4 linked regions of the Caenorhabditis elegans genome follow. The protein of the gene in region 3 purifies or fractionates together with the protein of the main gene of each other region. This does not show direct contact. Each region holds a gene or a part of one and is shown on either strand. Other genes may lie near its edges. The genes, in order: rps-19, rps-9, rplp-2.1 and nol-58.

Region 1 (5,317 bases), 2.8 Mb from region 3:
CAAGAGAACGCCGATTCTTAGCAGCAGGAGAAGCTGAAAGCATAGATATTCTTAATTTCAAGAAACTACAAAACAACTTACATTGTAACTCAGCAATTCTAGACTCTGCCGCCTTCTCTGTCATAGAATACTTTGACTCTGAATTACCCAATTTGGCATACTTGACAGCACCAAAATTGTGCACTTCCATCTGAAAACAAGCAAAATTACAGATAAACATTAATTTTTAATTCTCACGTGAATATTCTTCAAAGGTTCTGGATGATGCTCCATTTCAGTATCAAGATCATATGGATCATATTCTGCACTTTTCTTGCTCGATGAAGGCGCACTTTTAGCTGCTCCACGACCTTTCTTTTGTGGTAGAGTTTCTTCAATAGTCTCATCAGCTTCTTCGATAGGGTCTTCTGTGATAGAACCTTGCTTCTTTCTTCCACGAACTGTCGTTCGTTTATTTGTCACAGCCGGCGTCACCGGAGCAGATTTTGCAGGAGGCTTAGCCCTTGTAGATCTACGAGATGATGTTGGAGTTTCGACTTTCTCAGCTTCTACACTTTCCATAGTTTCAGCATCAGCATTAGAACGCCTTCCTCGCGGAGTTCGGGTGGACTTCGCTTGGTTTGTATCGTGAGTTTTTGTAGGGTCTTCGGTTTCTTTTTCTTGCAAGTTTTCCTCATTTGCTTGCGACTTTCTTCCTCTTCCTCTTGTGGACCGCGGTGTTGGCACTGCAGACGAAGTTGCTGAAGAAGATGCAGCTGAACGTCTTCCACGCCCCTGTTTCGGAGTTTCTTCTTCAGTTGGATGTTCCGTGTTTTCAACTTCCTCGGTGACAGATGTGTCTTCTGTTGCAACAGAGCGTCTTGATCTTCCCTTGCGCGGTGATGTTTCTTCAACGCCAGAGTCGCCAACAACATTCTCCGTAGGATCAATTACTTCATCTCTGTCTCCACCCCTGGAAGATCGACCACGCCTGGGGGTGCTGTTACTAACAATGGGCGTTTTCGTTTCATCTGCATTCACTTCCGATTTTTGCCCACGACCACCACGGCGTGGAGTGTTTGACGAAGGAGTAGACGAAACAGTTGCTGAAACTCTTTTAGCGCGACGAGTGCTGCGGCTAGAAGATTGAGATTCTTGGTTCTCTTCATTTGCTTCTGATTCTCCATCTGGCGATTTTGAATCGAGACCAATTTTTTGAGAATCATCAACACTGTCTTGTGAAATCTCACCAACGCCTGGTTCAGACGCCTTGTCATCATTAACATTCTCAATAGGTTCACCACTATCTGCTTGCTCTTTCACTGGACTTTCTACTTCAACCTCATTTTCGGGTTCCTCTGTATCGTCCTCATTCTCTGGTTCTTCTTTCTCGTCGCTCACACTACCTCCTTTTGGAGAATCATCTTCATGCAGATCGTCGTCATCTGACGTTGACACTGCCTTCTTCAATATTAATTGATTAAAATTAGGTTTTTCGAATTATCAACAAACCTTAGTTTTCTTTTTTGGAGCTTCGTCTTCGTCGTCTTCTTGCACATCATCAATATCTTCTTCATCTTCATCTCCAACCACCTTTTCTTCATTTTCTTCAGGTTTCTCGGTATCATTTGAAACAGAAATCGATTCAGCAATGTCTAATTTATCGTCACTAGTATCCATCGAGATAATTTTTTTCTCGAAAGTTTCTCCCTCTCCTTCTTCAATTGGTGATTCAGACTTTTCCGAGTCGTTCATGCTTTCTCCAGATTTAGCATCCTTACCGGCTGAACATTGTGGCTCATCTTCTGCCTTTTCTTTATCAAGTGCAGTAACATCGGCAGCTACATCTGGCTCGTCTTCCGCTTCTATGATAACTGATGACTTGGTAATGACACTCGAATCGACTATGTGCCCATCAGGAGTTGAATCTCTAGCTGGGGTCTAAGTAAGCAAATTTTAGATTAATACAAACACACTGGACTTACAGAAATCACAGCAGAGTTCCCAAAAAGACTCCTACTTTTATCCAGAACTGAAGTTGTTGTGGGGAGGCTGAAATAGTGGGATAAATATGTATGGATACTCGAAAAGCAGGTAACCTTGTCTGTGTGACGGTGGAGTCGTCTTCTTCGAATTCTGAAAACAGAAAATAAAAGGAAAACTTCACGTAAGTTAAGTTTAATTTTTAGAGTCGATATTCACTTCGAGTGACCACCTTAATTTCAATAAGGTTGAATTTTATATGCTTGACCCGCAAAAATATTAATTAACCTTTCACATTCTTATTATATCGAAAAAATTACCCATAGTGTTCGAAGACGATGCCATTTTCCTCCAAGCAGTTCAGTTCTTCAAGTCTATGCTGTAACATATGTGTTTAATTTTGCCATTTTAAGCGTAAAAGTGTCTGCGAAACAAAAAGTTACGACGTCAAAAAAAATCGTTTGAAAATTCAATTCAAACGCCCGCCCCCGCTGTTCAAAAAATGTACTGAGTGTCGCCCGGTGCGTTGCGGTCGCGTGCCGAGTCGCTACGCAGCCAATTGGTATGCAGGTTATGTCTTACGATCAGCGGTGAAGAATTTTTTCGTTTCTTTTCCTACAGGTTTTTTCAATTTTTTGACGCGATTTTCACGGTTTTTCGAGTTTCTATGTATTGATTGGGAGGAAATATGTTACGTTTACAGTTTTCTTAAATAATATCCACTTTCTGAAGCGCTTGTTGTTAAGAATAGTTTTTTTGGCAGTGGGTTTTCTTTCCGTCTTCTAATATACGATTTTTTCAAAGCTATACTTTTCCTTTTCAGGTAAAATGACGAGAGCGACCTCCATCAAGGACGTCGACCAGCACGAGGCTACCAAGTCCATCGCTCACTTCTTGAAGAAGAGTGGAAAGGTTAAGGTTCCAGAGTGGTCCGATCTTGTTAAGCTCGGAGTCAACAAGGAGCTTGCCCCAGTCGATCCAGATTGGTTCTACACCCGTGCTGCCAGTCTTGCTCGTCACTTGTATTTCCGCCCCGCCGGTAACTTTTTATTGACAAAATCATTACTTATTTTTCTATTTAGGAATCGGAGCCTTCAAGAAGGTCTACGGAGGAAACAAGAGACGTGGTGTTGCACCAAACCATTTCCAAACCTCAGCTGGAAACTGCCTCAGAAAGGCTGTTCAGCAACTCGAGAAGATCAAGTGGGTTGAGAAGCACCCAGACGGCAAAGGAAGAATTCTCTCCAAGCAGGTGAGTATTCTATTTTATTATCTAAAAATATAAAATTCGAACTTTTTTGTAAAAATAAATTATTAAAAATTATTCATAAATATATGCGCTGAAAATTAAACATGCAAAATTAGATGTTTATATTAAAATTAAATTTCTGCATGTTTTCTTTTTTGAATTTTCTCGAAATTTTCAACATCGTACTAAAACTAAATTTTGCAGGGACGCAAGGATCTTGACAGAATCGCCACCAGCCTCAGATCCTCTGGACAACAAGCCTAAACACTCGTTGTTTGTGTTATAAATGTTGTTGTTATAAAAAACTTCATGATACATCTCCATTAACAAGAAAGTAAGATGATGGCGCAAATTATGAATCAGAAAAAAAAGTTATTAAAGAAAAACTTCGCCCGAAACGTTTGAATATATACACCTGTATAGTTCTCACTTTTTTGAATAGTGAAATAATCAGTCTACAAAATATTATACGTCTTTAGTGGACCTTAGAACAAAGCTACAGAACTTGAATACAATCATTAATATATCTACTTGCTCTTCCGAAATCAAATTTGAAACATTATTAGCAGAAACTAACTTCCTATTCTGATACCCAAATTATTTCGCTAAACATCGCGAAAGGCATTTCTGATAAAGAAAATAAAATACAGGGTTAAGCTATTTATGGTTTCACAAACTTGCGATCAATTGGAAGTCGGAAAAATTTTAAAGATTAGTTATCATACAACGATAGATACAATTTTTAAATGAATGTTGGTGGACATTTATTTAGATGTAGAAAAGCGGAATCTAGCAAGTTCGCATGCGAACTTCTCGTTGTGAATTGCCGTGAACAAAATGTTCTTCTTATCTTGGGAAATCTGGAGCAATGCACACGCACCTCCGTGCCAAACAGTCCTACCCGGAGTAGATGATACCTCGCCATTCGATGAAGTTCCTGATACACCCGAACCAGATCGGTCTAAAAATTCAACTTTTAACTAGAAATAATTATCTAGAAATAAACCTCGAGATTGAGTCTCATCACTTGAGTTTTGTTTACTGTGCTGCCCTGAGGACATGTTTTTGGATTCGGCGTTCGTCGGAGTAACTCCTGCTTCTTCTATATTTGATTCCGATGGAGGAGTCGAAGGTCCGGAACCAGGAAGAGAGCTTCCATACCCAGACGAAAGAGATTCTTTTTGAAAACCACGTGTCGATTGCAGGCCATCGGGACGCAACACTTTCCACTCACGATATAGAACGTACGAAATATAGTTGTTCTTTTCAACAGCCTTCGTAAGCGGAGACGATCTGAATTAAGAATAATCAAAACTGCCACAAAGAACTGATTCCTCACAACTCAATATCGCTTGTCTTCGAATATTGGAGACCATTCAAAATCGGTTCGCTCTTTGATAACGGGCAATCGAGATTGATAGTGACACTCCGCAGACGGTGACCCATCTGTCCGTTTGACCACATTTGGAGAAATTCGAGAAGTTCCGAATTCGGAAGAATATAACGGTTTAAGTTGACCTCAGCCAACGAGCTCATTCTTGCCAAATCGGTAAGAGGGTTCTCAATAGTATTCTCAAAGATGATTCGTTTCGCCCAGAAGATCTGAAAATACGATGTTTTATTTAAATCGGCATAATATTTTAAAAATATCTTACCGGATAATTGCAATACGAAGTCTTCTCTACCCAATTCGGCATCTCACGTTCTTCGAATGGAATCACGTACGGCATAACTTCATGGTGCATGACTGCATTTCTTCTACTACGATACTCCTTTTCCTCAACAAAGTCTCCAGTATAGTTTCGCGCAATTGTTACTTCTGGAATAGTTCGCATTGTGTTAATTCTGTTCAGCCACCAATGTGTTGATCCAGGCGCATTGTGCACTATTCTGAGATTTCGGATGTGTCTGAACTTTTCGATAGAGAAGAGCTGAGACCAGTATTTGACATCAATGTCTAGTTTTTCGACAAAATTCGCGTCGTGAATGTTGATGAATTGGGAAAGATACTGAGCGGTTTCATGAATACATCCTTGATTTCCCAACTCCTCGTGGAACGGGTTTGTAGCTGTTGGGTATTGGACTGGCCAATCTTCAGGTACAACC
Region 2 (5,180 bases), on a different chromosome or scaffold from region 3:
TCTGACGAGTCCGGATTTTTCAAAGTGCTCGATGATTGGGAAGGTTTGTTGATTGTAGGTCTCGACACGCTTCTTCAAAGACTCCTCATTGTCATCGGTTCTCCCTTGGCCACGATTCAGACATCTTTCAATGCAAATCGAAACAGGACACGAAAGGAAAAGCACGAACTGGACGAGTGCTTTACCATCCATCTGCTTGTTCCATCCTTGAAGGTTATCCTCGTTTCTCGGGAATCCGTCAACCAGGAAGCCTTTAGCATCTCCACAAGCTTTCATGGCATTCTCGAGGAGGGAACAGGTGATCTCAACAGGAACGATTGACCCATTTTTGATATGACTTTCGATGAGAGCTCCGAACTCGCTTCCTTCTCTTTGACGTTCCGCTCGAAGCAAATCTCCGGCTGATAAGTGGACGTAGTTCAAATTCTGAAACATTTTTGTTTTAAAAGAATTAAGAACTTGTCAGGAAAAACTCACCTCTTGAATTTTAGCGCAAATAGTTCCTTTTCCAGATCCAGGAGGCCCGAGAACAAAAACCACGTTGTGCATGTCGTTTCGAGTTAACGTGCCGAATGAAACACTCTGACGGGTTGAATGAAGAGTGGAGAGACTCAGACGATGAGAAGAGCGGATAAGTGCGTGGAGAGCGAACGCAACTGAAATGTTTCGATAGAATATTTGACTGTTCGGGGGAGCGGGGGAGGAACGATTACCGTCTATTCTCTATTAGTGCTGCATGCAACACTAATTTCCAGGCCCTTTTTTTAATGTAGCACTATTAGAGACTGCAGTACTACTGGAGACTGCAGCATTAATTTTCGAACAACTATTTTCAATTTTAGATCACTAGTTTTTAGACACAAAAGCTCTTTTTTTAGCAGAAATTCATAAAAATTGCGAACTTTTGTAACAAAAAGACCCCATAATTCAATTACTCTCGTAAATTATCAAAAATTCATCAAAAATATACAAAAAAATACCCAAAAATATCGAAACTATCAAGTGACTCTTTCAATAGAAAATGTGGTGCAGCACTAATAGAGACTGCAGCACTATTTTTCGGACCCTTTTTGAATGCAGCACTATTAGAGACTGCAGTACTACTGGAGATGTAGCACTAATAGAGAATATACGGTAAGTATAAAATATGCATAACTGACACGTTTTAGCACGAAAATGCAAGCTTTTTTGGTTAAGCGAGAGGAAAGAGAAGCAAGCACCACCGCTCTATCGATTTCTCCTCGTTTTCTGTGGAGATTTGGCTGCATTAGGCATGCATTTGCGAGCAGATTAGAGCGCCAAGCAACTTATTTGAGATGAACAGAAGCTGTAAGATTTTGATGCGTTGCCCAAAAACAAATAAACTTACGCATACAGTTGCAACCCGAGTCCTTGGATCTTCTAAATACGGCTTCGATGGGAATTGGAAGTTGAAAGCAATCCTCCGATATATATTCAGATCATAACACCTTCAAGTAAAAAAAAGAAATCAAAACATTTTTGAAATTGAATCAAATTAGTTTACTTCTCGTCAGAATATCAAGGAATTACATAAAATTTCAAACAAACATAGCACAAGAAAGGGAAATTTCAAATTGAAAATCGAGATGTAGAATCAACCCGTGCGACGTGTTTTCTTTTTTCAGAATACAGATTCATGCATCGTGTTCTTCTGTTTTCTCTGCTTGTCGTTTTAGGAACTTTGGCGGATTTTTGGCAATATACTCATCCTCCAGCCGACGAAATTCTTCGGGAGACACCTGAAAGGATAAATTATTAAGAGATAGATTATAGAAAAATCATTTAAAAACCTGCGTAAGTCCAGTCTCAATGGTATCATCGATTTCTCCAGCAAGCTCAACATTCTCTCCGCGAATAAGCATGAATCCTTGACCCGTTTCACAGAAGTATTTCTCAACAAATGTGCGTTCTACGACATCTTCCAATATAAGATTGGCAAATTGATCTATCGATCTCAAGAAGCCAATCAATTTCCGTCCGTCGCGGAGAACAACTAATAATTTTTTGTCAAGCTGCTCGAACAAGCTTATTGCTCCGGGTAAATAGGGATCGGGCAAGTCCATGATCTGAAAACGAAAAAATTAGATTAAAATACGAATAAAACATTGAATTCGAAGAGATTTCAAACAATAAGTGGAATTTTCGGTTAAAAACACGGGCAAAGGCTTAAATCATGAATATTTAACATTGAATGCCAGTTCCTGATAGTGTTTTTCGTTGGTAAACGTTATTTTTACTAATTTTTATTGAAATTATATGAGTTTAAGATTTATATAAGCTCAAAACTGCTATAGACTCGTTAAAATTAGCAGGAAAATATTAAAAAGAACCGAATGGAAAAGAAACGAGAGACTGTGCATGCATGAGAGGGTGTTTTTTCTCTGGTAAAGGCACACCGATTTACGCGGGTGGGTCCCGCAACGACCACCGACCGTAGTCGTCCCCACTCTTTTAGGCCGAACCTGACAATTTTTCTTTTTTTCTATTATTTTTTGGGAAAATCGCTGAATTTTTGAATGAAATTGTCAGAAAATTAATTAAAAAAATGAATTTTCATTACATTATTGTTATTTTTATCGTTAATTTGTAATTTGCTTCCCTCTGTTTTCGTTGTTGCTGCCTCAAACTTCAATTTTCTATTTATTTTTTTCAGGGTTCAACTATGGCACGTCTGAAGACTGTGCAATCTAAAGTGACAAAGTCGCCACGCCGTCCGTTCGAGAAGGAGCGCCTTGACCAGGTTTGAAATGTCAAAGTAAAATTTATATTTTAAAATTTTGTTTTACAGGAGCTCAAGCTCATCGGAACTTTCGGACTCAAGAACAAGCGTGAGGTCTGGCGTGTCAAGTACACCCTCGCCAAGGTCCGTAAGGCGGCTCGTGAGCTTCTTACTCTTGAAGACAAGGATCCAAAGCGTCTTTTCGAAGGAAATGCCCTTCTCCGTCGTCTTGTCAAGATCGGTGTCCTCGACGAGACCAAGATGAAGCTCGATTACGTTCTCGGTCTTAAGGTCGAGGACTTCCTTGAGCGCAGGCTCCAAACCCAGGTCTTCAAGCTCGGACTTGCCAAGTCTATCCACCACGCCCGTATCTTGATCAAGCAGCACCACATCCGGTTAGTTTTTGTTTCTGTATAAAAATATATTTAAAAATGAAACAGTTTTTAGAACTATCATTTTAACATTAAATTCATCTTTCGGAAAATTGATTGTTCTGGCAGTTAATTTTTTACAAATGTTTTTCGATTTAAACCAGTTAGGTATTCCTGCGCTATTTTGAAGACTGATCCAGTAGTCATTGTCCGGAATATTTCATTAAAAAATTTATTTCACTGAAAGATGACATGACAAATTACAAGATTAGTATCGACTTCAAATTCTTCTCTTTCAGTGTCCGCAGACAAGTTGTCGATGTCCCATCCTTCATCGTTCGTTTGGACTCCCAGAAGCACATCGACTTCTCTCTTCAATCTCCATACGGAGGTGGCCGTCCAGGACGCGTCAAGCGACGCACCTTGAGAAAGGGAGATGGAGCCGGAGGCGACGACGAGGAATAAATTTGTTTTGGTTACAAATAAAATTGTTGGACATAACGTCTTCCAGTGATTCGTTTTATTTTTTAAAAAGCCTTTTGGAAGAAATAGTTTTACAAGCAATTGTGCGATTCCGTTGTTCACGTCCGAGCAAATTTGAATTTAAAAAATCCAGTGCGGTTTTTCTGGAGAACTTTCGCTGGCTTGATCGAAATAGTATAAAAATCATGGAAGCCGGGGGTGTGCAGCAAATTTTTTTTAAAAAAGTAGATTTTCCGCACATCAAAAATTTAACAATACATTTTTGACCAAAACTATTGATTTTGTACAAAAAATGGCACAAAATTAAGTTATTCTGATGATCAAGCAAACACAATACATGGAACTTATTAACGAATTGAGCTCCTGCGCTTACAGAAATGAACAATCCGTTCCACGTTGGCCACGTGGGAAATATAGCCAGAAACCGGTTCTTTCTTCTGCAGCTCTGCGCGCTTCAAGTGCATTTTCCGCTATGCCTATTGATCTTTGGCATAAATTTTATTTTGAACAAATGAAAAGAGATCCGATTGTGGAAATGCTCTTTGAAAGTACTGAAGAAGGACAAAACGTGACTCGGGATGACGGAGAAAAGTGGCCAGCAATGGTTTTTGGAGCGGTTTAGGAGCGGTTTAACTGCTTGGGCCGGGGGGTGGGAGGGGGGAGGGGATGAGTTCAACTCTCCACCACGGGAAAATTTTTTGCGAATTTTTTCATCCAAAAAAAAGGAAAAAAAAGGTCCAGAAAAAACAAACAAACATTTTTTTATAGGCAAAAATAGATGGATTTTCGTAACTTTGAAAATTCATAAATATCTTGAAAGAAATTTTTTTTTAATTTTGTAGTAAATTCTGAGCTCTTTTAGAATATACAACAATATTACAGAAGGTACAAGAAGCTTCACGTAGTTACAGAAATAGTACATTTTCAGCCCTACCTTTTAGTGCGTATTTTATTATTTAATGAAAACTACCATTAATAGGCAAAAATAGGTGGATTTTCGAAACTTTGAAAATTCATAAATCTCTTCAAACTAACTTTTTTAGAAATTCCCGTAGCCATTTTGTAGCAAATTTTATGTTCTTTCAAAATTTAAAAACAGAATTTCAAAAAATTTTGAAACCGCCAAGTTCAAGCAGAAAAAGTGAATTTTCAGTCATACCTTGTAGACCACAATTTATATGCAAAATTAATAGATTTTCCAAACTTTGAAAATTCATTTCTGGCTTCAAACTAACTTTTTTAGAAATTCCCGTAGCCATTTTGTAGCAAATTTTATGTTCTTTCAGAATTTATAAAAATTATATGCAAAATTAATAGATTTTCCAAACTTTGAAAATTAATTTCTGTCTTCTAAATTTTTTAGAAATTCCCGTAGCCATTTTGTAGCAAATTTTATGTTCTTTCAGAATTTATAAAAATTATATGCAAAATTAATAGATTTTCCAAACTTTGAAAATTAATTTCTGTCTTCAAACTAAATTTTTTAGAAATTCCCGTAGCCATTTTGTAGCAAATTTTATGTTCTTTCAGAATTTATAAAAATTATATGCAAAATTAATAGATTTTCCAAACTTTGAAAATTAATT
Region 3 (5,134 bases):
TAAGGAGGGGTGAGCATTATTTCGCAACTCCCCGGAATGGTTTTTTCGTCCGTTATCCAGCGTTTTTTGCTGATTTTTTTCCACAAAATTTACAATTTTACTTGTTTTATTCTTTTTTTCGAACGAAAATTATATCCAATTTAATGATCATGAGATTGTGAGCACGTTTCATGTTTTTACAATCAATTTAGCAAACATTTTTCATTCGAAAAAAAGTAAAACCGAAACTTTATCGAAGAAATCAACAAAACTGCAGTAGAAAAACCGTGCCATGCGAAATTGTGCCCCGCCTATCTTTCTGTGAGACGCTGCTTTTTTCGAAATTAACAGATCGATCTTACAGTTTTGACAGAATTAAACTACTTACAAACTATTCCGTTTAGGTCATACAAACTGACAAAACTATTGGATAAGAACGATAGATAGGATGCAAAGTTGATTAGGAAGACAATGCTCCAGATTGAAAGCTACAGGGTCAACATACTAACTATGCGATCGAGAAAACAATGCTTACCGATACTTTTTCGATCCTCCTCGTTCGTCTTTCCACTCGCCACTGTATCATTGGAAATCGCCGACGTGACACGAGCTGTGTCCGACGGCGACGGAACAACAATCAAGCTTTTCACCAGCTTTTCAGTCGCGATGCCGACTCCGTCAGCCGTCTCGTCCTCAACTGACGACTCTTCGATAAGCGGTGGCAACGTGTTTGCAGTTGTTGGAGTACTTGCGCAAGACGTACTCGCTTCTGAAGTCATTGATATCTCGGCACTGGGACTCCGAAGAGACTCACCGATGCCTGACGATGAGGTGGACAGAGAGGAGAGCAGTGCGGTCGCTGAAGACGGTCGCACAATATCTCCCACCTTTTCGATGTCTGGAAATTTATAAAATGGCTGAGCGGCAAGTCTGATATAATTACACGACATCTAAGATTGCAAATCTCAAAAATTCTAATTAATCTTGAGAAGTAAATTAATTCATCCAAAAAAAAGCAAAAATTCGTTTTTCAGGAAATTTTTTTGAAAATTTAACGTGCATTTTGCAATTTTTAAATCAAAGCTTACTAGATTGAAGCGGCGGTGTACGTGAGTGAGGAATTGTGGACCACGTTGAGGAAGCCGCAGAAGAAGTATGTGCTGAGGCAGACGCTGCTCCCCGCATCGACCGACACGACCATTCAGCGCCAACTATTTTTTCTGAAATTTTCTGCAAATATAACAATTGAATTCGTCGGACCAATTATCAGATTATTCGAAAAACCATAGTCAGAGAATTTTAATCAAAATAGCATAAAAATCAATTTATAACGACTTGATATCTACTTAAGAGAACTTTTGAACGAAGAAGATTTTTCTAACAAATATAGTCTTGGGGAATTATAAATAGTTCGTTTCTCCTTTACTGTAAAAAGTTTTTTGAAATTTAAGCCAAAACTGATAAGTATTTTAGTTTTCTACGGCGCGAAATTTGAATTGCCTGAAGGGAAAAGTGCAAGGAAAATCAATAATGGGGCGGAGTTTTGGTAGAGAAATGCGATAGGGACGTCGAAAAGCTGTTCTTCTTGCACCCAAAAGTCAAAAATGGAATATCTGAAAATCAGAAACTATCCTGATGACGTAGTTTGCGCATGGCAGTTCGGCGGTTCCGAAAGAACGGCGGACACTCACGGTCGTAACGCGACCGCGACGCAGCACCACCGCGTCGCGGTCGATTTGATACTCAACCGATTACTCAATGTCTGCAATCATTCAGGCTTTTTTAAAAGCAGATATCAACATAACAGACTAATAAAAGAAAGATGTAGCTATGAAATATGGAACTTTTGAAATTGTAAATTACATTACAGATTCGACTTCAAAAATCGATAACGGAATTCTTCACTTTTAGATGATGCTTTAATGCAGTGTATTAAGTTATCAAATTTTTATAAAGCATCAGACAGTAGAACTGACGTGAAAGTGCTCTTTGCTGAAAATGGCTGAAAATCGAGCCAATTTGCGTAAATTGGTCAATTATTAAAATATCGCACACGTGAAACGAGTGATACCGTACCCGAACTGGCGTCTCGGATAGACTTCTGTGTCTGCACTCTCTTTTCTCCTTCGAAACTCATGAAATCCTAAATTTTTTGCCTCTTTTTTCGAGTTTTTAACTGAAAATGGCCGTTTGTTACACCTTTTTTAAAAATTAATTTGTTTAAAATGATAGTGCTTTAAAATTTGTTCAGAAAATAACGAATTAATGTTTTCTGAAGTCATAGTGAATTTATCTTCCATCGCGAATTTGTCGGAGTGGTTTATTTTTTCTTTTGATTGGAACTTTTTGATAAAATAAATAAATAGTTTTTTACAAACTTATTTTTCTAGCTTCTTTATCTGAACACGTTTATTCACAACTTATTTTGTTTTCTTATCAAAATTTTGGACCTGTTAAACTTATATTTTCAGCCATGAAGTACTTGGGAGCTTATCTTCTCGCCACCCTCGGTGGAAATGCCTCCCCATCTGCACAAGATGTCCTTAAGGTCCTCGGTAAGTTTTATATCACGTTTTTCCGATATAAATACTTATATTGCAGAAGCCGGAGGTCTCGACTGCGACATGGAGAACGCCAACTCCGTCGTCGATGCCCTCAAGGGAAAGACTATCTCCGAGGTTATCGCCCAGGGCAAGGTCAAGCTCAGCTCGGTCCCATCAGGCGGATCTGCCCCAGCTGCTGCCGCCCCATCAGGAGGAGCCGCACCAAAAGGCAAGTTTTGTTTCACTAATTATGACCCACATTTAAAAATAATCCATTGCGGAGCACGATTTAAAATTTCGAAGCAGTACAGGTGGCGTGAGTCACTTAAAAATTTAAGCAAGTAAGAGATTTTGAATACTATGTGCTCCGCAGTAGTAATTTTTTATCTGGGTACGCAGAAGATCCCTATTTTTTTTAAATTCAAATGTTTCAGCCGAAGAGAAGAAGAAGGAGGAGCCAAAGGAGGAATCCGACGACGACATGGGCTTCGGTCTCTTCGACTAAATGTGTTGTTAAAGTTGTTATTCGTCATTCAATGAACGATTTAAAAAAATTTGCTCGAAAGTCGCGATGTAGAATTGTTTGAAACTTTGGGGAAAATGCCGTTATATGAATTTATCTAATTTTTGAGTCTCGAACAAACAATCCGGAATTTACATTTAGCAATCAAAGAGTGATCATGTTGAAGCCCAGCCTAAATGCTGCTGCGAAATGGATGATTCGAAATACAATAGTTAGCAATGAAAGTCTAACTCCAGAAATCAATCTTCATCTTATTACAATTGCTAGTCCACTGTGGATGAGCACTCCCGATGCTTGTCCTCTTCCAGATCCCTATTGGGCATTCTATTGGCCTGGCGGCCAAGGCCTATCAAGGTTCATTCTTGATAATAAACCTTTGTTTCAAGGATCAGAAATTGTCGACTTCGGCGCCGGCTGTGGTTCAGCCTCGATATCTGCTTCTATTTGTGGAGCGAAGAAGATTCTAGCAAACGACATTGATAGATGTTTGTTTTTGAGATTGAAGTTAATCAGTGTAGAATGAGCTACTTATTTCAGATGCACTTCTATCCACGAAGCTCAATTTCCATCTGAACAATTTAAGAGATTCAAAGATTCAATACTCTTCGATCAATTTTTTAGATGATAAAAATGAAAGAATGTCCACTCAATTTTTCACTGACTCCAAAAATATCAGAAAATTCATTCTCCTAGGTGACATGTTTTACGATTCTGACTTTGCTGAACTTCTTTTTTCGTGGCTTAAAAAGTAGGAATATCTCAAAATTGGTGCAAAAACATATAATTAAATTCTACAGAATTCAAGATGCACATATGGTCAGAGTACTTGTTGGTGACCCCGATCGTCATCCACTAGCCGAATCCGAATACTTGCAACGGTGAATACTTTGCAATTTCATTTTCAAATAGAAAATGTTTCTCATAACCTCATAAATTCGGTTTACAGATACAAAACGAAGTTCACCAAAAATCAATTGGCCGAGTTTTCACTTCCAGGATACGTCATTAAGGAACATTACGGATTCAATACTGCGAAAGTATTTGAATTAAAATTCCAATAACTGTTAAATTTAAACTGAATTAGTCTTTCAGGAATAAAATTGTTGAACTTTACTAGAAACTATTGTAACTGGCCTCTAACGGAAAGAAAATCATTCCAGGACAATCTAGGAGCTCCAAAGTCTTACAGACAAAGGATGCATCGGAACTTTGAAAAAAACTCCTATAGAAGTTGAAAGGATTTTTCGAATTTAGGCTCGTGGAATTGTTAACTGCTATTGCTCAGACGCAAAATTTTGCCATTTTGTGCCAAAAATACGGTACCTGGTCTCGACACGACAATTATTGTCAAATACAAACGGGTTTGCGCTTTTTAAAGTACTTTTAAAGTACAAATTTTCACCGATTTTTCATAGCTTTTCGTTGAAAAAAAACATATGTACTCATTAAAAAACTAACATTTTAACAATTAAAAAAGAAACATACATTTTACTTAACAAGTCGTGACAAAAACTATGAAAAATCGATGGAAATTCCTCGTTAACGAAAGTTTTAAAGCTACAGTACTCCTTAAAGACGCATACCTGTTTGTACTTGACATAAATTTTCGTTTCTACACTTATGTTATATTTAGTACGCGATTAAGTATCTTGTACAATAGTTGTTCTATCATTAACGTATACAATTCAATTCTTCAAGATAAAAATTCACCAATTACAATTTGCAATTTTCACAACCAAACAGTACGCACATCTCAAAATACTTAAAAAATAAATAAAAACTGTTTCACATAAAAGTAGGCAGGCATCATAAGGCAAGGATTTAGATAGTCAGGGCATCAGGGGGAGCTTTAAGCTTCCTGTAGGTTTGAAAAGATATAAGCAGGTATGGCGTAGACGGCATGAGGTAGGCACCTAGGCAAGTATGAGGTAGACGTTAGAACGTAGGCATGCGTCAACCTTGATGGCTTTTTCACTTTAATAAGATCTCTGAAATCACTGAACACACAATAAAAAATTTTATTGCGAGAATACTACAGAAAGGAAAATAGAATAGCTACGGAATAAATCAATCCTATGCCTTCTTCAGT
Region 4 (6,588 bases), 3.5 Mb from region 3:
ACTGGCACCTCACTTTTCGCGAATTAGTTGCTTGATAAGTTGTTGGTCACGTTCCCGGCCTTCCCGCTCGGATTGTAGTTCTGCTTCAAGTTGTGTAATCCTTTTCTTCATCTCATCATACTCCTCGTCCTTCTGCAGTTGCAGCTCTTTCGCTTTATTTCGACTTTTCCGGACGGCATCATTGTTTCGAGCCCGTTTCAATTTATAGATGGGCTCCACTTTCTCCTTATCCGGCTTTAGATTGTATTTTCGAGCCTTGGTTTTTGGCACGAAATTTGGTACCGCTGCAGCAGTCTTTTTGGAACTTTTTGGTTTGTAATAAGAATCATCGACACTTTCATCGTTATCCGAAAGCGATGTTTCTCCTTCTTCCTGATAATCGTCGTAACACGAAGGTCGTTTAATAGCTCGGCGAGTTGTCATAGTTTTCGAAGTTTTCATCGTTTCCGGCTTCTTCTCCTCCTCGGTCTTCACCTCGAAATTCATTTTATATCCGTCTTGTTCCTCGTATTCACCGGGATTTCGAAAACCGGGGCCATAAGCCACGTGCCGTTCGTATGGATTTAGTTGCGGCTGCTCGTAAGAGTCATCATCGTAGAGAATATTTGCTTTTTGAAGTTCAGCATCATTTAAGTCGACATTATCCGCAGGAACATCCAAATCGGTAAAGCATTGTAGATAATTATCCAGATCCAGCTGGGTTTCCATAAAATCCACAGGATTTCGTTCCCGATCACGTTGTTGGAGGGATGCGGCGAGAGCAAGTGAGTCCTGAAATTTTTCGTTTTAAAATTTTTTTGAAGAAAATTTGGCACGGTGCAATTTTCTTCAAAGAAAAATATTTTTTAATTTAAAATTTTTTAATTTCTTGAGATGGCAGAATTTCAAATTTGTGAACCTAGTCCGCGGCCATGACCGCGACGCAACTGCACAGCGGAGCGGCTCGAATAAAATATTTATTTTATTCCGTTTTTTCGCCCAGTGATTTTTCAACGTTTTAGCTGATTCTTTTTGCTTAAAATGAGCGAAAAATTAAAAATAACTTTTTTAATTGAGCTGAGTCGCAGCCTCAACTTTTTCAGTAAATTCTGTCATCATAATGTTTTGTTTAGCATTTTTTTCAGGGGATGATTTCGGAGCATTGTTATAATATTTTCTTCGAGAAAAATGTTTCGCAGATCTCCATTTCCGTGAAACTTCCAAAAATCTCACTTGTCTTGTGAACATTCCAGCGGCCGCCGACGTCGACGCTCCATTATCCGGCATATCCGTTAACTCGTGAAATCGAGGCGGATTTCCCATCGATTTATTTCCTCGGGAGTAGTTGTAGTTGTACATTCTGGAAAAAAATCAATTTAATTGGTTTTCTTCGAAATCTTCAAAAAATCGATATTTACACTGACTATTTAAATTTTGAATCTTCGTTGCGAATTTATACTTTTAACTAAAAATCTATGGAAATACGTTCCAGAAAATCAAAAATGCGGGTAAAAGCGGGTCAAAAGTGAGTGGCATGACCTTATGAATCACTCGGCTTTGCGAAAATGTTCGAGAAAACCGATTTGCGTCAACATGGGCAGTGCTGACGCGTTTCGCACCGAATTTTCGGGTTTTCGCAATACTTTCTTCTAAATGGGGATTTTCCGGTTGGAAATTCTGAATTTTTGAGGAGAAAATCGAGAAAATAATTGCAGAAAAGTTATGGGAACTGATTTTCTGATAAAATGAGCAAAATCGACCGGTGAACTGGCAAAAAAGAGCAATTAACGAAGAGATTTATTTTTAAAGATAAAAAAAAGCTTTTAACAAGCAAAAATTCTAGAATTATATGAAAAAAGTTGAATTTTTAATAAGTTAAAATCGAAATGTCACGTGAAATATATTAATTATCGATTTTTTAAATTGTAAGGTTTTCGCTTCGAAGAAAAATCAATTCTAGCTATGTTAAAGCATAATTCAACGAGAAGAATGTGCAAAATACAGAAATATATGGCGAAAATTCTCTTTTCGCCATAAAAAAGTTTGCAAGCAAGGAAATTGCCGGTATTTTTTCATATTTTGAAGGAAAAAATTACATTTTTAAGATCCAATTTCGAAGAAGTCAATTGTTCTGCAACATTCCACGAGAAAAACATCCGGTTTCGAAGTTTTTCACAGATTTATCAATTAATCACACGAAAATCTGCAGATTAATCTGCGAGAATATTTGTGTGGAACGACTTGTCCGAGAGGAGTACACAGGCGTTGATTTCAAACTCCCGCGCGCGGGTCTCGCAACGATTGTTTTCTTTGGCTGTCTGCCAGCGATATTTTCTCCTCTTTTTTTGGCTAAACTGGTCCTATTTTCGAATAATTTCAGCCAAATTTCCAAGTTTTTATCTAAATTTTTGAAGGAAAGTGTATAAAATGATAATTTAAATGTAGTTTTGTCAAAAATATCCCTGAAATGTTGAAAAATCAGTCTAAAAACTTTATTTTCAGAGTGTAATTTAAAAATATCGATTTTACGTCTTTAATCTTATCTTATGATGTCCTTATTCTCTTAACCGGTTCATTACTTTATTTGCTATTTTACAGGTAAGAAGATGCTGGTCCTTTTCGAGGTCGCAGCCGGTTATGCAGTATTCAAGCTCAGCAATGAGAAGAAGCTGAAGAATGTGGATAACATCTGGGAGGAGTTCAGCACTGCCGAGAAGGCTCAAGAAAAGTATATATTAGAAATTAAATTCATTTTTTAAAACTGTTTTTCTTACAGCTTGCAACTGGTTTCTTTCAAGAAGTTCAAGACTACCGCTGGAGCCGTCGAGGCTACTTCCGAGATCACAGAGGGAAAGCTCAGCAAGACGTTAAAGAAGCTTTTGAAGTCGAGCGTCGACGAGACCGAAAAATTGGCTGTCGGTGATGCCAAGCTCGGAAACTTGATCAAGGAGAAGCTCTCTTTGAATTGCGTCCATGACAGTTCCATCAACGAGCTGATGAGAGGAGTTCGCGCTCATATCGAAGACTTGCTCGCCGAGCACAAGGAAGAGATGAATGCCATGAATCTCGCCGTGGCTCACTCGCTCGCTCGTTACAAGGTCAAATTCAACCCAGAAAAGATCGACACCATGATCGTGCAGGCTGTTTCTTTGCTCGATGATCTTGACAAGGAGTTGAACAACTATGTTATGCGTGTCAGAGAATGGTACGGATGGCATTTCCCAGAGCTCGGAAAGACTATCCAAGATCATCAAGCTTATGCTAAGGTAGGCTCACAGTGGTGAATTATCCGTATTAAATTATTTAATTTTCAGATTATCAAGGCCATTGGCATGCGACAGAACTGCATCAACACCGATTTGTCATCGATTCTTCCAGAGGAGTTGGAGGAGAAGGTCAAAGAGGATGCTGAGATTTCAATGGGAACTGACATTTCTGATATTGATCTCATTCACATCAAGGGTCTTTGTGACCAGGTCATCGAGCTCTCTGCCTACCGGTTAGTGAATTTATACAATTTCTTATTCAAAACAAATTATTTTTTAAATTTTTTCAGTGCTCAACTCTTCGACTACCTCAAAAATCGCATGACTGCTCTCGCTCCAAATCTCACAGTTCTTCTCGGAGAGCTCGTCGGAGCCCGTCTCATTTCTCACGCTGGATCTCTCGTTTCGTTGGCCAAGGCACCAGCCTCGACGATTCAAATTCTTGGAGCCGAGAAGGCTCTTTTCCGTGCTCTCAAGACGAAGAAGGATACTCCAAAGTACGGATTGATCTACCACGCTCAACTTATCACACAAGCCCCACCAAAGGTCAAGGGAAAGGTTAGTTAAATACTTTATTGATTTTTCTGTTAAACTTAAAAATCGGCAAGGACCTTAAAAATTTTTTTTTTTTAATTCCAGATGGCTCGTAAGCTCGCTGCCAAGTGCTCTCTTGCCACTCGTATCGACGCACTTTCCGACGAATCCGCCACCAACGAGATCGGAATCGAATGCCGTGCCGCCCTTGAGAACGTGCTCAGAACCGAATCAGAACGTGGGCCATCCAAAAATAAGAGCTTTGGATCCCACCGACACGACAAGTACGAGTTCAAGAGTGAAACATACGAATACGACGCGTCTGCTGACACTCCAGCCAGTCGCAAGCACAAGAGATTCGATGATAACGAGGAAAGCACGAACGCAATCAAGAAGATGAAGATCGAAGAGGTTAAGGAGGAAGATGAAGCAGAGCCAGAGAAGAAAAAGAAGAAGAAGGAAAAGAAAGCAAAGAAGGCCGATACTGATTCTGATGAAGAATAGATGCAATTGGGGTGCCGACGAGAGTGATAATCCGTTTCTTTTGTTGTAATTCGTGTTTCTGTACCACGAAGACTGTATGTTCTTGTTGATTTGACTCGTTATTTCTTGCTAGTATCAGGTTTATCAGATTTTCCCCATTGTTAACACATTCTATCTGAAATCTCTTCAAACACAAAAACTGTCTCCTCCTCAAATTAATTTTTATCGTAATCACTTGTTTTTTCTTTTTACAATTCTTTGCCCTTGTTGTTTTCCTTATTTGTTATGTTGTCCTTTCCAAAAAAAAATGTTGAGATAAAAATTGGTTTCAAAAAGCTTTTATTTTCAGGGATTATCTTATCGAGAAAAGCATGAGAAAATCAAAAATTGAAACTGTTTAATTGCCGTACCCTTTGTTTAAAGGCGCAGAGGTTAAGCGTGGTAAGACCCATATCATGATATATATATACCCATATCTATGAGGGATGCGCCTTTAAGTGGATACGGTAGTTTTTTTAAAAGTTGATTTTGTTTGTTTTTTTATTAAATTTAATTACATAACTATAAGTTTTTTCAAACGATTCTGAAACAAAATTTAAGTCAAACAAAAGGAAAAAATAAATATTTAATTAAAAAAACCTTTATTCACTGGAATCGACTCATAAACCCGTAACAACAAATGGGTTGAAAATATTAAGAAATCTTCAAAAATCACAAAAAACACTAAACTAAACGACTTTTTGAGTATCTGGAAAGTTATTCTGATGATTATTATGATGCTCATTACACATAAATCATTGAAGAAGTCTTCTGAGCAAGTGAAGCCTCTGAGCGGCCTGCAAGAAATCAGAAGAACCATTCAATTCGTCGACAATATCATCCGATGGAGGCATTAAACCGGGCGGCCCGGCCCCATGGAGAGAGAATTCGTGTGGAGGCGCAGGTGGTGATGGTGGTGATGGACCAGAAGTCGTCGGAAGTGGTGATGGTGGACTTGGTGATGCGGATATTGTAGATGTTGGCGTGGATAGGGCTGGAAATCATCGATTTTTTTTCAATCTGGGTCTTGCCACGAACTTTGAATTTCATAGAAATCGTGGTGAGAGTTAAAAAATTGTGTTTTTTTTTTCGAAAATTACCGTTAAAATTTCAGCAATATTCATTTTTCATTCTCCCGAATGTTTTACTGATATAAAACAGTTAAAATTAAATACTTTACCGTGGCCTAGGTTTTCTAGTAAGAAACCTCGACCACACTCCAAACGGAAGCATGTAAAATTAAAGGAGAATGGCTGGCCGAATTTTCACTAATTTTTTTACGCGGCCTTCTAGTTAGAAAACCTAAATCGTTTGGTGGCCTAACTTGCGAATTTCTAGGCCACTTGACCTACCTGAAATAACATTCTCCTCTATCTGATGCAACTGATGGTTCTCCGTTTCGATTTTTGCGTTAATATCTTCAAATTCCTCGTCTGGCAGAGCAATTGTGACGTCAGTGACGAGCTCCGTCGTCGTTTCTTCGGTTACTGTAGGCTCTTCAGATGTTGTTGTGGTTGTTTCTGCTGTCGTTGTAGTTATTGGAATCGCTGAAACATCAAGGAGTGCTGATTTTTGAAATCTGATAAACAAATCGATTACTTTCAGTGGAAGTTGGCTCAGTGATAAGCTCCAAAGTTGTGCTGGGTACTGTAGTTGTAGGTGGACGTCTGTGGCCGTGCCGACGACTTGCAAATGCAGGGAACAGTGATGTTGACTCTGATGATTTTTAGGTTTAGGCTTAGTCTTATGCTTAGGCTTAGGCATAAGATTAGGTTTAGGCTTGGCGTCAGCGGGGGAGCGTTTACAACCGCCTCGCTCAAATGTATTTTGATAAAAGTGGCTATTTAGGCTTAAGCCGCGCCATACCGCCGGTGTGTCATAAGGATTTCCAATATTTTATTCCAGTTGGGCACCCTAGTTTTTTCGGGCCCTTAGGCTTAAGTGTGTCATAAGGATTTCCAATATTTTATTCAAGTTGAGCATCTTAGTATGTTTTTCGGGCCCTTAGGCTGGTTGGATTGGGATTTCCAATGTTTTATTCCAGTTGGGCACCCTAAGTCTAAATAGCTCTTTTTCTTTTCTTTTGCGCTCCAAGCGCAAGGAAAAACCTTATTGTAACTTTTTATGAGGGTTATGCTTAGGCTTGGCGTCAGTGGGGGAGCGTTAGCTCCCACTGACGCTATTTAGGGTTAGGATTACAGCGTTTTTCCATTTTTCAAAGGGTTCCCGTTGGCCGATCAAAGCGAAATTTAACACAGAGACGTATAGGTCACTAAGAAGCTTCCGT

What was found.
Region 1: the proteins of rplp-2.1 (region 3) and rps-19 fractionate together in Caenorhabditis elegans (co-fractionation; one large-scale study listed by BioGRID). This does not show direct contact.
Region 2: the proteins of rplp-2.1 (region 3) and rps-9 fractionate together in Caenorhabditis elegans (co-fractionation; one large-scale study listed by BioGRID). This does not show direct contact.
Region 4: the proteins of rplp-2.1 (region 3) and nol-58 fractionate together in Caenorhabditis elegans (co-fractionation; one large-scale study listed by BioGRID). This does not show direct contact.

What each region holds. Positions count from the first base shown.
Region 1 is NC_003279.8:9,623,265-9,628,581, reverse strand, and holds rps-19 (Small ribosomal subunit protein eS19), read left to right. Parts: upstream 1-2,785; 5' UTR 2,786-2,790; coding exon 2,791-3,001; intron 3,002-3,044; coding exon 3,045-3,214; intron 3,215-3,415; coding exon 3,416-3,475; 3' UTR 3,476-3,514; downstream 3,515-5,317. Other genes in the region: Protein hsr-9, read right to left, coding at 1-33, 82-190, 238-1,443, 1,492-1,920, 1,965-2,031, 2,079-2,115, 2,283-2,307; T05F1.2 (F-box associated domain-containing protein), read right to left, coding at 3,976-4,172, 4,218-4,504, 4,551-4,813, 4,867-5,317.
Region 2 is NC_003280.10:11,123,857-11,129,036, reverse strand, and holds rps-9 (Small ribosomal subunit protein uS4), read left to right. Parts: upstream 1-2,674; 5' UTR 2,675-2,683; coding exon 2,684-2,761; intron 2,762-2,809; coding exon 2,810-3,135; intron 3,136-3,410; coding exon 3,411-3,576; 3' UTR 3,577-3,609; downstream 3,610-5,180. Other genes in the region: F40F8.1 (UMP-CMP kinase), read right to left, coding at 1-426, 478-656, 1,370-1,373; lsm-1 (U6 snRNA-associated Sm-like protein LSm1), read right to left, coding at 1,656-1,760, 1,812-2,084. UniProt on the Caenorhabditis elegans protein: Component of the small ribosomal subunit. The ribosome is a large ribonucleoprotein complex responsible for the synthesis of proteins in the cell. Part of the small subunit (SSU) processome, first precursor of the small eukaryotic ribosomal subunit.
Region 3 is NC_003279.8:6,787,055-6,792,188, reverse strand, and holds rplp-2.1 (Large ribosomal subunit protein P2), read left to right. Parts: upstream 1-2,450; 5' UTR 2,451-2,452; coding exon 2,453-2,534; intron 2,535-2,580; coding exon 2,581-2,751; intron 2,752-2,956; coding exon 2,957-3,027; 3' UTR 3,028-3,150; downstream 3,151-5,134. Other genes in the region: pqn-20 (Prion-like-(Q/N-rich)-domain-bearing protein), read right to left, coding at 515-748, 794-877, 1,068-1,164; etfm-1 (Electron transfer flavoprotein beta subunit lysine methyltransferase homolog), read left to right, coding at 3,203-3,530, 3,583-3,793, 3,843-3,923, 3,992-4,106; acdh-5 (medium-chain acyl-CoA dehydrogenase), read right to left, coding at 5,119-5,134.
Region 4 is NC_003279.8:3,264,517-3,271,104, forward strand, and holds nol-58 (Nop domain-containing protein), read left to right. Parts: upstream 1-2,577; 5' UTR 2,578-2,585; coding exon 2,586-2,707; intron 2,708-2,755; coding exon 2,756-3,245; intron 3,246-3,293; coding exon 3,294-3,478; intron 3,479-3,535; coding exon 3,536-3,803; intron 3,804-3,884; coding exon 3,885-4,283; 3' UTR 4,284-4,596; downstream 4,597-6,588. Other genes in the region: Transcription factor zip-4, read right to left, coding at 14-771, 1,213-1,338; pqn-72 (Prion-like-(Q/N-rich)-domain-bearing protein), read right to left, coding at 5,057-5,295, 5,654-5,848, 5,901-6,017.